Linked DNA regions of Mus musculus: regions 2 and 3 are each reported to be linked to region 1. Evidence: microRNA targets listed by miRTarBase, many of them from high-throughput screens and not tested one by one. Region 1 holds a microRNA gene; each other region holds the end of a gene's coding sequence.

Region 1 (3,258 bases):
CCATCAGTACTGCTTATTGATACCTCAACCCCCTCCACCCTAGTTTCCCAGAAGGAAATTGATAAATTGAAAGTGAAGGGCAGAAAAAAAAACCTGCTTTACCTTCTTTTCTCTGCACTGACTTACAGAAAAAGAAGTCAGTAGAATCTTGGGGGATGGTCCTATTTCTGGCTCCTTCTGCCTAGCTTTAAGCTATTAGCCAGAAATGTGCTGTTTCTTTTTTAGCCCACTTATTGTAACATTAATCTTCTGTATTTTGCTGCCTGCTGAACAATTGTGATGTGCATTTTTCAACTTATCCAATTTATCTGTTACATGCTCTGTGTATGAACTTTCCTTGAAAATATAATATGTATCCACAAAGAGGTGTTTGTCTATTTAGTTTAATATTCAGCTCATGCCTAGCTCTACCTGTATTCGGGTGGTATTAAAAGCTGCAGTTTTCCATAAATCTGAAAAATAATAAATGCTACTGAGTGTTGAAACAATGCTTACATGGTATGAATATTCACATCAAAATATGGTATATGTGGAATATTTAATGTGTGGATTGTTTTCTATATTTCTATACTGGATATTTTCTTATTTAAATTTAAAATTGTATGCCCATTCCACAATTCCCTCCCAGAGAAACCTGTCCAATCTCCCCTCCCACTGGTGCTATGAGGATGTTCTCCACACACACAATCCCACTACCCCACCCTGGCTTTCACCTACATTGGGGCATTTAGCCTTATGAGAGACAAGCCCCTCTACTCTGATTGAAGCCTGACTCAGAATTCTTCTGCTACTTATGAGGCTGGAGACATGGTTCTCTCCTTGTGTACTCTTTGGTTGGTGGTTTAATTCCTGGGACCTCTATGGGGGCTATGTATAGTTGATAATGTTGTTCTTCCTATAGGGTTGCAAATCCCATTCAGTTCCTTAATGTTTGGTTTTAAAGAGGTCATGGCATTTTCTGATGCATATAGAGCTGTAAATTTATTTCTACCTTCAGGAATGTATTAATAAAATAAAACAGTTCAAAATTATACAGATTTTATGACAGAGACCTGATTTCAAAAAAAAAAATAGAATGAAAATATCATGAAATCTTAGGACAACCTGAGAGAAAAGCATTTAGAAAATCTAGTAAACAACAACAAAAGTATCACCATAAACAATGGTTGCAATGTTGAATGCCTTTGGCTATTAATGGTAACATGCTACCAGCATCACTGTCATAACACTGCTTGGATTGTGGGTATGGTAGTTTCTCTGCCTGTTAATCACATCTAATTTTTCTTATACTCAAATCTGGTATGTTGAGCACCTCTGCTGCCATCGTGGTACTCACAGTGGCTGATCTAAAAACATGAAAATGCCAAAATTGTTCTGTAGTCTGTGTCACAAGCTGAAGATTGAATGTTGTATCTTCATTACAGAAGGCACAGCCCTGCATGACCGAGGCAAGAAATGGACAGCAGATGCCTGAATTTCACATGTGGAGGCATTCCCTGTACAGGAACTAGGAGCCAAAGAATCAGAGAATGGAGGCTCTGAAACAAAAAAAAGCAGTTTGCTTGGAGCTGTCCACTGGCTCCATCTCTTGTCAGTTACAGAAGCACTCTTCCTTGTCTTTAGCACCATATAGTCAGGCTTTGGTTATATCCAGGACCAGGTAAGTCCTGGAATATAGCCAGAAGCCTGACTGATCAAATCCTTCCCTGCAGACCAATTTATTTGGTCTCCTGGCTTCTGATTGATGGAGAATGTGCATTCAAATAGAGAATGGAATGAGATCCAATCAGAAGAGAGATCTCATATCTAGGCATGGACAGCAGAGCCTGCAGTAACCTTGGATATCTACATCAGTGCTGGTGATTCATAACTCATACACTCCTCCCTGCCTTCCCAGAAGAAATGAGAATAATTGAAAGTGAAGTGCAGAAAAAAACTGTTTTACCCTCTCTTCTCTTCACTGACCTACAGAAAAATACCTCACTGAACACTTTGGGGTGGTCCTATTTCTGCCTTATTGATTATCTTTAAGCTATTTTACAGGGATGCTCTGTTAGCTTTTGAGCCCACTCACCGTATTTCTTGACATTTTTGCTGCCTACTGGGCAATTGTATTGTGCCTTTGTCTCCTTTTCCAATTTAACAATTGTATGCTCTGTATATACTCTTTACTTGAAAAAATATTATTTATTCTTGCATCTAGAAAGAATTGTTTTAATACCAAGGTTAATATTCTGCCCATTCCCTAGTCCATGATTACTCAGTTTCAATGAAAAGCTGCAGTGGTCCATAAATCTGAAATATAATAAATGCAACTCAGTGTTGTAAACAATGTTTGTGTGCTATATTATTCACATCAAATATGGTGGATGGAAAATATTTGAAGTGTGGTATTGTTTTCCATTTTTTTGGATATTTTATATTTACATTTCAGATGTTACACCCTTTACCAGAGTCCTCCACAGGAACCCCCTGGGAAATCTTATATAAGTATGTTACTTTACCCAATTACACACAAAATACTGGCACCCTGCCCTGGTATTCTCCTAGAATGGGTCATAAAGCTTTCTCAGGACTAAGGGCCTCTCCAGTGATTGATGCCTGGCAATGCTTTCCTCTGCTACCTATGAGCATGGAGACCTAGGTCCCTCTTTTTGAACTCTTTTTGATGGTTTTGTCCCTGGGACTTCTGGGAGAGTGAGTCTAAATAATTGATATTGTTCTTCTTGCTATAGGGTTGCAGACCACTTTCAATTCCTTAATGTGTGGTTTTAAAGAGGCCATAGCATTTTCTGATGCATATAAAGCTGTAATCTTATTTCTACCTTCAGGAATGTATTAATCAAATAAAACAATTCAAAATTATCCAGGTTTTATGACAGGGCCTGATCTCTAAAGATAGAATGAAAATATGAAGGAATCTTAGGACTTCAGGTATCCACAAGTACAAGCTCACAAAGAAAATTCATGTTTCTATTTCTTCCTTTACCTTGTGTAATACCTAGGTAGAGGTGATCAGGTAATCATTTATTGATTTCCTTAAATGGCTCATGACTCTCCAGAGCTGTAAGGTTGCAAAGGACTGACCTAGGAAAAAAAGCATGTACAAAATCTAGTAAACAATAATAAAAATATCACAATAAACAATGGTTGTAATGTTAGATGTCTTTGCCCATTAATGGTAACATGCTACCAGCATCACTGACCCAAGAGTGCTTGGGTTCTGGGTATGGTTATTTCTGTGTCTGTCAGTTACAT
Region 2 (3,258 bases), not on the chromosome of region 1:
GGTTAGTTGTCATGGAGACAGATCGCTGTAGGAATGAGGAAGAACCTCAGCTCTTTCATCTCTCTCCTGGAGCCAGGTTGTGTGCTCTTAGGCTGCCCACTTCCTTCCTGCGACTTAATAGTTAATGCAGGAGTTTGCAATGAAGTTGATACTTGAAAGGTAGGGGAATACTTTCCTTTATTCTCAGTGATACAGCTATCATGTCTTTTGCCTGATGAGTTCAGTGTTTAAGCAAAGAGGACACAGGGAAGAATCACTCTTTGTTGGAGGGGAGAATTCTCCCCCTTTTAAAGCAAACAGCAAAGTTGGCCAGGAGCTCCTGAAATCTGTGGTATCTGGAAAGGCCCACTGAATTTCATCCCCCTGCCCTCTGACAAAGATGTCCTTGTTCTCCCTGCCCGTGGCCCTGTGCTCAACTGCCTCCACCATTTGTGTATACTGCAGTAACTGTGACACTGTCTTCCTACAGGGTACGGCATCATGACCGACGGTTACACCACCTACATCAATGCCTCAACCTGTACAGTCAGCTTTCAACCGACCAACCCTCCAATCATATTTGACCTTCCAAACCCACAGGGCTCCTAAAGCACTCAGCATCCCGTTGGAATGTGAGGGACGGTCTACAAACTGCCATTTTTCTAATTATAAACTCACATTCTCTGATTTGTTTATTTCTAAATCCTGTGAGTTCTTTTTGTAAATTGTTGGAACAGGAGGGAAAAGAAAAAAGAAAAAAAAAAAGATGCTAGCGTTGTGCCGCCTCTTTTTTGCTTTTTTGAGTGGGGTATCCATTTGAAATCAAAGGAACATTGTGAATTTGTAAAATGACTTCTGTTTGCTCAAAGGCCACGCCATTGTAAATTGTTAGTATTTGCCAAAGGACAGCCAAGCTTTCTTTAAAAAAAAAATGATTATTTTAAAAAGTCTTATTTGAATATGCTTTAAGCTGAAAGGAAAAGATTAAAAAAAAAAAAAAGACAGAAAGAAACACAAAAGCAGTGTTTTGAAAAATCACCCAGATTTGCACAACTCTGAGTATTGTTTGATATGTTTTAATTTTCAATGTTTTGTTGTTGTTTTCTTGGTATTGCCTCATTTTTATTTTACAAATGTGGCCCCAATTTAGAGCAATCTCAACAGAAGTTGGTTAGGAAAAACCTTAGCTTCTCTCTGGCTATAAAGAAGACTGTGTCTGAGGTGGGGGAAGAACAGCCCTCATGCAGAGGCTTAGCCAGAGATCCATATCATGATGCTACCAACTCTCACTGTTTGTTTCTTTTAAATTATTTGAGCTTTAAAAATAAGGAAACAAGAATCTGTCAAGAGATGGTCATGCAAGGAAAAAGAAAGTGTGCAGACTCCCTTTCCATGTGGATTTATATATATATATATATAACTATTTTTTGTGCATTACGACTCAGTTGGGAGTTTAATCTTGCCAAGGACAGTACAACTGCAAAGCCACATCGGTAGCAGCACACCAGACGTCTGAAGGAACTGACCCATTCTTTCTTCAAACTCAAGGTCTTAAAGAACTTGAGTCCAGTCTAGGTACAGTAACCAGTGTGTATAGACTCCAGTGGATGCATCGGAAGCGAACTAAATAAGGCTTAGTCGTCCTTTCTATTTAAAGGCCCTGTTTTGTCTTCTCACTCCCCTCCCCCTCCCATTTTGCACTGTGTGTTGATGCAATCTTCGCTAGCACAAAATATTGTTGCTAATAATCCTTTCTGGTCTCCCATTGTCGATGCCATTGAGCGCTATTCTATTTTATGTTACCTTCAAATTTAGGAAAGCAGTTGTTTTCTTTAAATTTATTGTGATACTCTATATCTAGCGGCCTTTATATGCAAATAAAATTGCAAGATTTTTAAATCGGTGCTGCGTGGTTGGGCTGCCTGGGGGAGGGCGGGGTAGGTTTGTCCTGGGGCTAAGATGGTTTATTTACATGCGATTTGAGTAATCCCCTTCTGAACAATTAGAATAGTGGGTTTGTTTTTCTAATTTTTCAATAACTGTTTATGGCCTACCAATCCCAGGCTGTCAGGTCCATTGACAAGAGGTTCTCCCTGCAGCACACTGGGGATCTGGTTTGTCTCGTCTTAGATTGCAGAAGGTGCAGCTTCCATCTTTGGCCACTGTAATGTATGGGGACAGAAAGACTGACAAGGCTGTGACTGCTGTTTGGGATGTGACAGTGGTAGTGAGCAGAGGGCGCCTCAGAGGACAGACACCCTCTCACTAAAACATTCTCATTTATCCTCATGACGTGCAGTGGTCACCCCCACCCCATGGTTTCATTTCTGTTTGAATGAGTCCACTGACATGTTTTTTTTTTTCCAATGAGAAGCTGGGGCCAGTGGTAGGCTGGGGAAATTGTATATACCTCTTTCATTTTGTCTAGATCAGTGGTTCTCAACCTTCCTAATGCTGCAACCCTTTAATACAGTTCCTCATGTTGTAATAACCTCTAACCATATAATGATCTTGTTGTTACTTCATAACTGTTATGTCACCACTGTTATGAATCATAATGTAAATATAGGATGTTCAGGATGTCTGATAGTTGACCCTTGTAGTGGTTGTGACCCTCAGGTTGAGAATAACCATTGAGGAAAAGCACCTTGCTATTGTTGTTTGTAGGGCCTTTGCTTGTTTATAGAAGGTTATTTTGTGTTTTATTTTATTGTTGTTTCCATTTTCTGAAACAGTGTCTCAGATAACCCAGGCTGACCTAGAACTCTGTGTAACAGAGGAGGACCTTGAACTCTTGACCCACCTGTCTCCACTTTTTAACTGTGGGGGTTTACAAGTGAACATCCCCGCACCCCGAATTGCAACAAGATCTTAAATCTGTGCTAAGTCTGTGCCCACTGCATTGCATTTCCGTTCGGTCTAACTATTGTGATTCTTCTGATGCTATTCCTGGAAGGAATTCTTGATTTCAGCACCAGCTGGAACAGTCTTCTTCAAACGACAGCACAAATTCTCATAATTATCTCTGTCCATTTTAGCTGCGTCTCTTAGGCTTGTCCGTTTCTGATCTGACACTGTGCAACGGGTGCGTGGGCTTCCAGACGAGAAGAGTCTGTGACTGTGGGAGCTGAGATGGATGAGGTCCTGAGAGAAGCTCACAATCCTCCCTTAATCTGCTGACTTGGTGTGAAGATTGTTGCCTTGGTGCCCTTTCCTAGGGGATGGACAGAGATGCAAAGTACTGAAAAGACATTTCACCTGGCTGTTAACCATGACGTG
Region 3 (3,258 bases), not on the chromosome of region 1:
TGGCTTTGCTCCACCGCTGGCCCACTTCGAAACCTGGGAGTGCTTTCTCTCTTAATAAACTGTTTTTACCAGTGTCTGTGTCCCAGGCCCACTTCCTCGTTCCAGGATGTAAGATTCTGGAAATGCCCAGCAGGTTCCCTCAGGACCACACCCCATGCCTGTAACGTCCTAGCTTTCCATCCTCCTGTGGCACACTCACATATACCCCAGGGATGGGCAGACTACCAGCTGCACCGAGCCCCCAATCCCTGATCCCCACTCCCAGCCTCTGCTAAAGCACAGCTCATATCCCTACCTGGAGCCGAGCGTGGGACATTCAGCCACATCTGGAATCTTCCAGATCCAGCCCCTTGAGCAGAACAGGAATTGGCCTTTCAAGGGTTTGGTGCCCTCCCATCCAACTCACAGCGGGGAGAGCTAAGGCTGGAGGTGTAACCCCCTGGAAGGGTGGATGTGGTGCAAGAGAAGAGAGGAAAGAGATGGCTACTCTGTACCTGAAGCCATTGCTATCACCAGGGCCCAAAGCCACCTTGCAGCCAAGCAGGTAGACCCTGAATCTAGCAGGGGTTCCATACTGAGAGTTGAGTCCACGCTGATGACAATGACCCGACTCCACCTGGCCATGAACAAAATGAGCCACACAGGCCCACCCTTCATGCCTCCCCATTGCAGAACCCCCTGTGTAGCAGACGCCCAGACTGAGCAAGCGGCTGGGTAGGTGCTGCTCTAATCTTCAGATGTCCAACTATAGCCTGCCATGTCCCCAGGCCCTGCGCTGCTTTGGGGGTGGAGGGAGAACACACTAACAGGTATGGACATTGATGGTGACTCTGGAACAAGCACAGGTGTCTCCCAGCAGTCCTGAGAGACCTGAGCCTGTCAATTAACCTGGAGAATTATTAAGAGGCCTTACGGTAGCCTACGAGGCTATTCCAGGAAGGCTTAGTAAAGGGGGAAGGCCCTCTCCAGGGACTGCCTCCGCTAGCAGGCAGCCCAGATATTGGGTGCTCCAAGTAAAAGGCAGTGCTGCCTGCCAGCCCTTCTTGCTGCTGTTACCACCCTCTGCTGACATCAGACACAAACTCTGACTTTCCAGTGTGGCGTGAAGATCCTCCAGGCCCTCAGCACTAGAATGGAGCTGCTGTGAATTTAGCAGCTCCAGGGCTCTCAGCCTCCCCAGCCAGCAGATGGCTGTTATTGGTGAAGTCTGGATAAAGATGGCCCTCACAGGCCCATAGGGAGTGACACTATTGGGAAGTGTGGCCTTGTTGGAGGAAGCTTGCTACTGTGGGGTGGGCTTTGAGGTTTCAGGAGCCAGGCCTAGTGGCTCACTGTCTTTTCCTGCGCCTGCAGATCCAGATGGAGAACCGTCAGCTACCTCTCCAGCACCACATCTGCCTGCATGCCGCCATGCTTCCCACCATGATGGTAATGGGCTAAACCTCTGAAACTGTAAGTCAGCCCCAATGAAATGTTCTCCTTTATAAGAGCTGCTGTGGCCATGGCGTCTATTCACAGCAATAAAACCCTAAGACAATTAGGCTACCAAGCCCATTTGTGTAAGCCAGTCTGGCGAACCCACTTTTACAGTATATATACATTCTATTGGTTCTGTTTCTCTAGAGCCCTAATATACAGGCCTTGTTGCCATGTGCTCAAGACCAAACCCTCCAGGGTGCTGTGATATGACACTTACACTCCAGGACTCTGCTCCCAGCAGCTTTGGGGGCTCCAGCCAGATGAAGCAGCTGGGTACATGGCCTGCAATACCCCCACAGAAGCCTTACAGTGACCCATGGGGGGAGACGTCTACCCAAGGAAACCACCGCCCCAATGCGGCCTGCAGGTCCACAGAGCCAAAGTCACAACCCTTGACCTCCATACACGGAGAAACCAGAAACAGCCTCCACCTATTGTAAATATTGTAAAAATCCAGGCACTGTAGAGGATGGACCCAGCAGCAGCTCACGTAAGAAACCCTGATAAGGGGCTTAGAGAGGGATCTGAGGTGGGGCTGGCCAGGGCTCAGCCCTTCATAAACTTCTCTGAGGAGCCAACGTCCCGACCTCAAGAACCTCCTGAAGGGCAGCAATCAGCCAAGAACACTATACTGACAATGACAGTCTCCTCTCCAGACCGGGGCACATTGCCCACAGGCCGATACCCCAGCCATTCCAGGGCAGGTATGGGGCTCACACGAGCCTCAGTAGCTCTCTAAGGGCTCAGGTCTCCCTAGTCTCTTCCCGGGAGGGTTCCCTAAATTCCAGTCTTGTAGAATAGCTGTGGGCAGGACTGGAGAGATGGCTCAGCGGTTAAGATCACCAACTGCCCTTCCAGAGGTCCTGAGTTCAAATCCCAGCAACCACATGGTGGCTCACAACGGTCTGCAATGGGATCTGATGACCTCTAATGGTGTGTCTGAAGACAGCTACAGTGTACTTATATAAATTAAACAAACTATAGCCTTGGGTAAGGTTTGCACCTGAGTCCTGACAACCCTCTCCCTGGACTCCTCTGGTCATGTTGTCCCAGTGACCATGCTCTAGACAGGTGACTTTATTTCTAAAAAAGTGAGGCTCTTTTCAGCCGTGTGGTGAGGCAGCCAGCTGGCCAGTGAGGGAGAGGCAATGTGGGTCTGACTGGAAGGTAGGGGCCCCACAGGCTCTCTGTCCTGGGGGTGGGGGGAGGGCTAAGGGAAGAGCCCCAGAGCAGCACAGTAGACCCCCACATCCCTCAGCCAGCCACGGGCTCCGAGTTCCCCTTGAGTTCCCCTCGGTGCTGGGATCTGTGGCTAGCACTGGGAGGGTGAGAGTCCGGGAACGCAGGAACAGTAGTGACAGTAAGCTCAGAAACCCTTGTCTATGCTCAAGGTGCGGCGTGTGACGTGCTCCAGCTCCCCAGACACATAGTCTGCCATGCTGATGCGGTAGTGTGCCAGCATCTTCAGCATCAGCCGCAGATTCAGCCACCACTGCTCCCGGGGCATGCGGTGCCTGCGCAGGTCAAGGTTGGATAGTTAGTTACAGAACTGAATCCCGAGATCCCTTAAACCCCGAATACCTAGTCGCCATCATGACCAGGGTATACAGGGTACATCTGGGTGCCCCATTCCTCTGGCTGGGAGTGAGGGGAAGTACTTCTGAGGTAGACTCAGATGCAAGAGTCACAAACCCTCCCCAGACCACCCTGTGCTGGCCATTGAACGCATGGACAAGACTCCTGTTCTTCAAAGCCTGCTAGGGGCCCTGTCCTGGAAAG

What was found. The annotated mature microRNA mmu-miR-344e-3p reads GAUAUAACCAAAGCCUGACUAU and lies in region 1 at 1,630-1,651, opposite strand. An mRNA with a match to its seed (bases 2 to 7 or 8) in the 3' UTR can be bound and repressed. Matches are read on the target gene's strand: a 7mer-m8 pairs with bases 2 to 8, a 7mer-A1 pairs with bases 2 to 7 and ends in A, and an 8mer does both.
Region 2: the mRNA of Mpped2 is a reported target of mmu-miR-344e-3p. Seed matches in the 3' UTR shown: 7mer-A1 at 1,380-1,386.
Region 3: miRTarBase lists Pfkl as a target of mmu-miR-344e-3p. Seed matches in the 3' UTR shown: 7mer-A1 at 2,441-2,447.

The regions. Positions count from the first base shown.
Region 1 is chr7:61,733,910-61,737,167 of GRCm38, forward strand. Mir344e (microRNA 344e) reads right to left here and starts at 1,693; the gene lies at 1,628-1,693. The region is part of intron 6 of A230057D06Rik (RIKEN cDNA A230057D06 gene); the gene reads right to left.
Region 2 is chr2:106,866,479-106,869,736 of GRCm38, forward strand. Mpped2 (metallophosphoesterase domain containing 2) reads left to right here. Exons shown (of 7, transcript NM_001143683.2): 7 at 470-1,882. The coding sequence ends at 588. Among named protein-coding and RNA genes, the nearest start is that of C130023O10Rik, 50 kb to the left of the region's middle.
Region 3 is chr10:77,985,365-77,988,622 of GRCm38, forward strand. Pfkl (phosphofructokinase, liver, B-type) reads right to left here. Exons shown (of 22, transcript NM_008826.5): 22 at 1,583-2,993. The coding sequence ends at 2,846. Cfap410 (cilia and flagella associated protein 410) reads left to right here. Exons shown (of 7, transcript NM_026431.2): 7 at 1-74. Among named protein-coding and RNA genes, the nearest start is that of Gm51807, 2.6 kb to the left of the region's middle.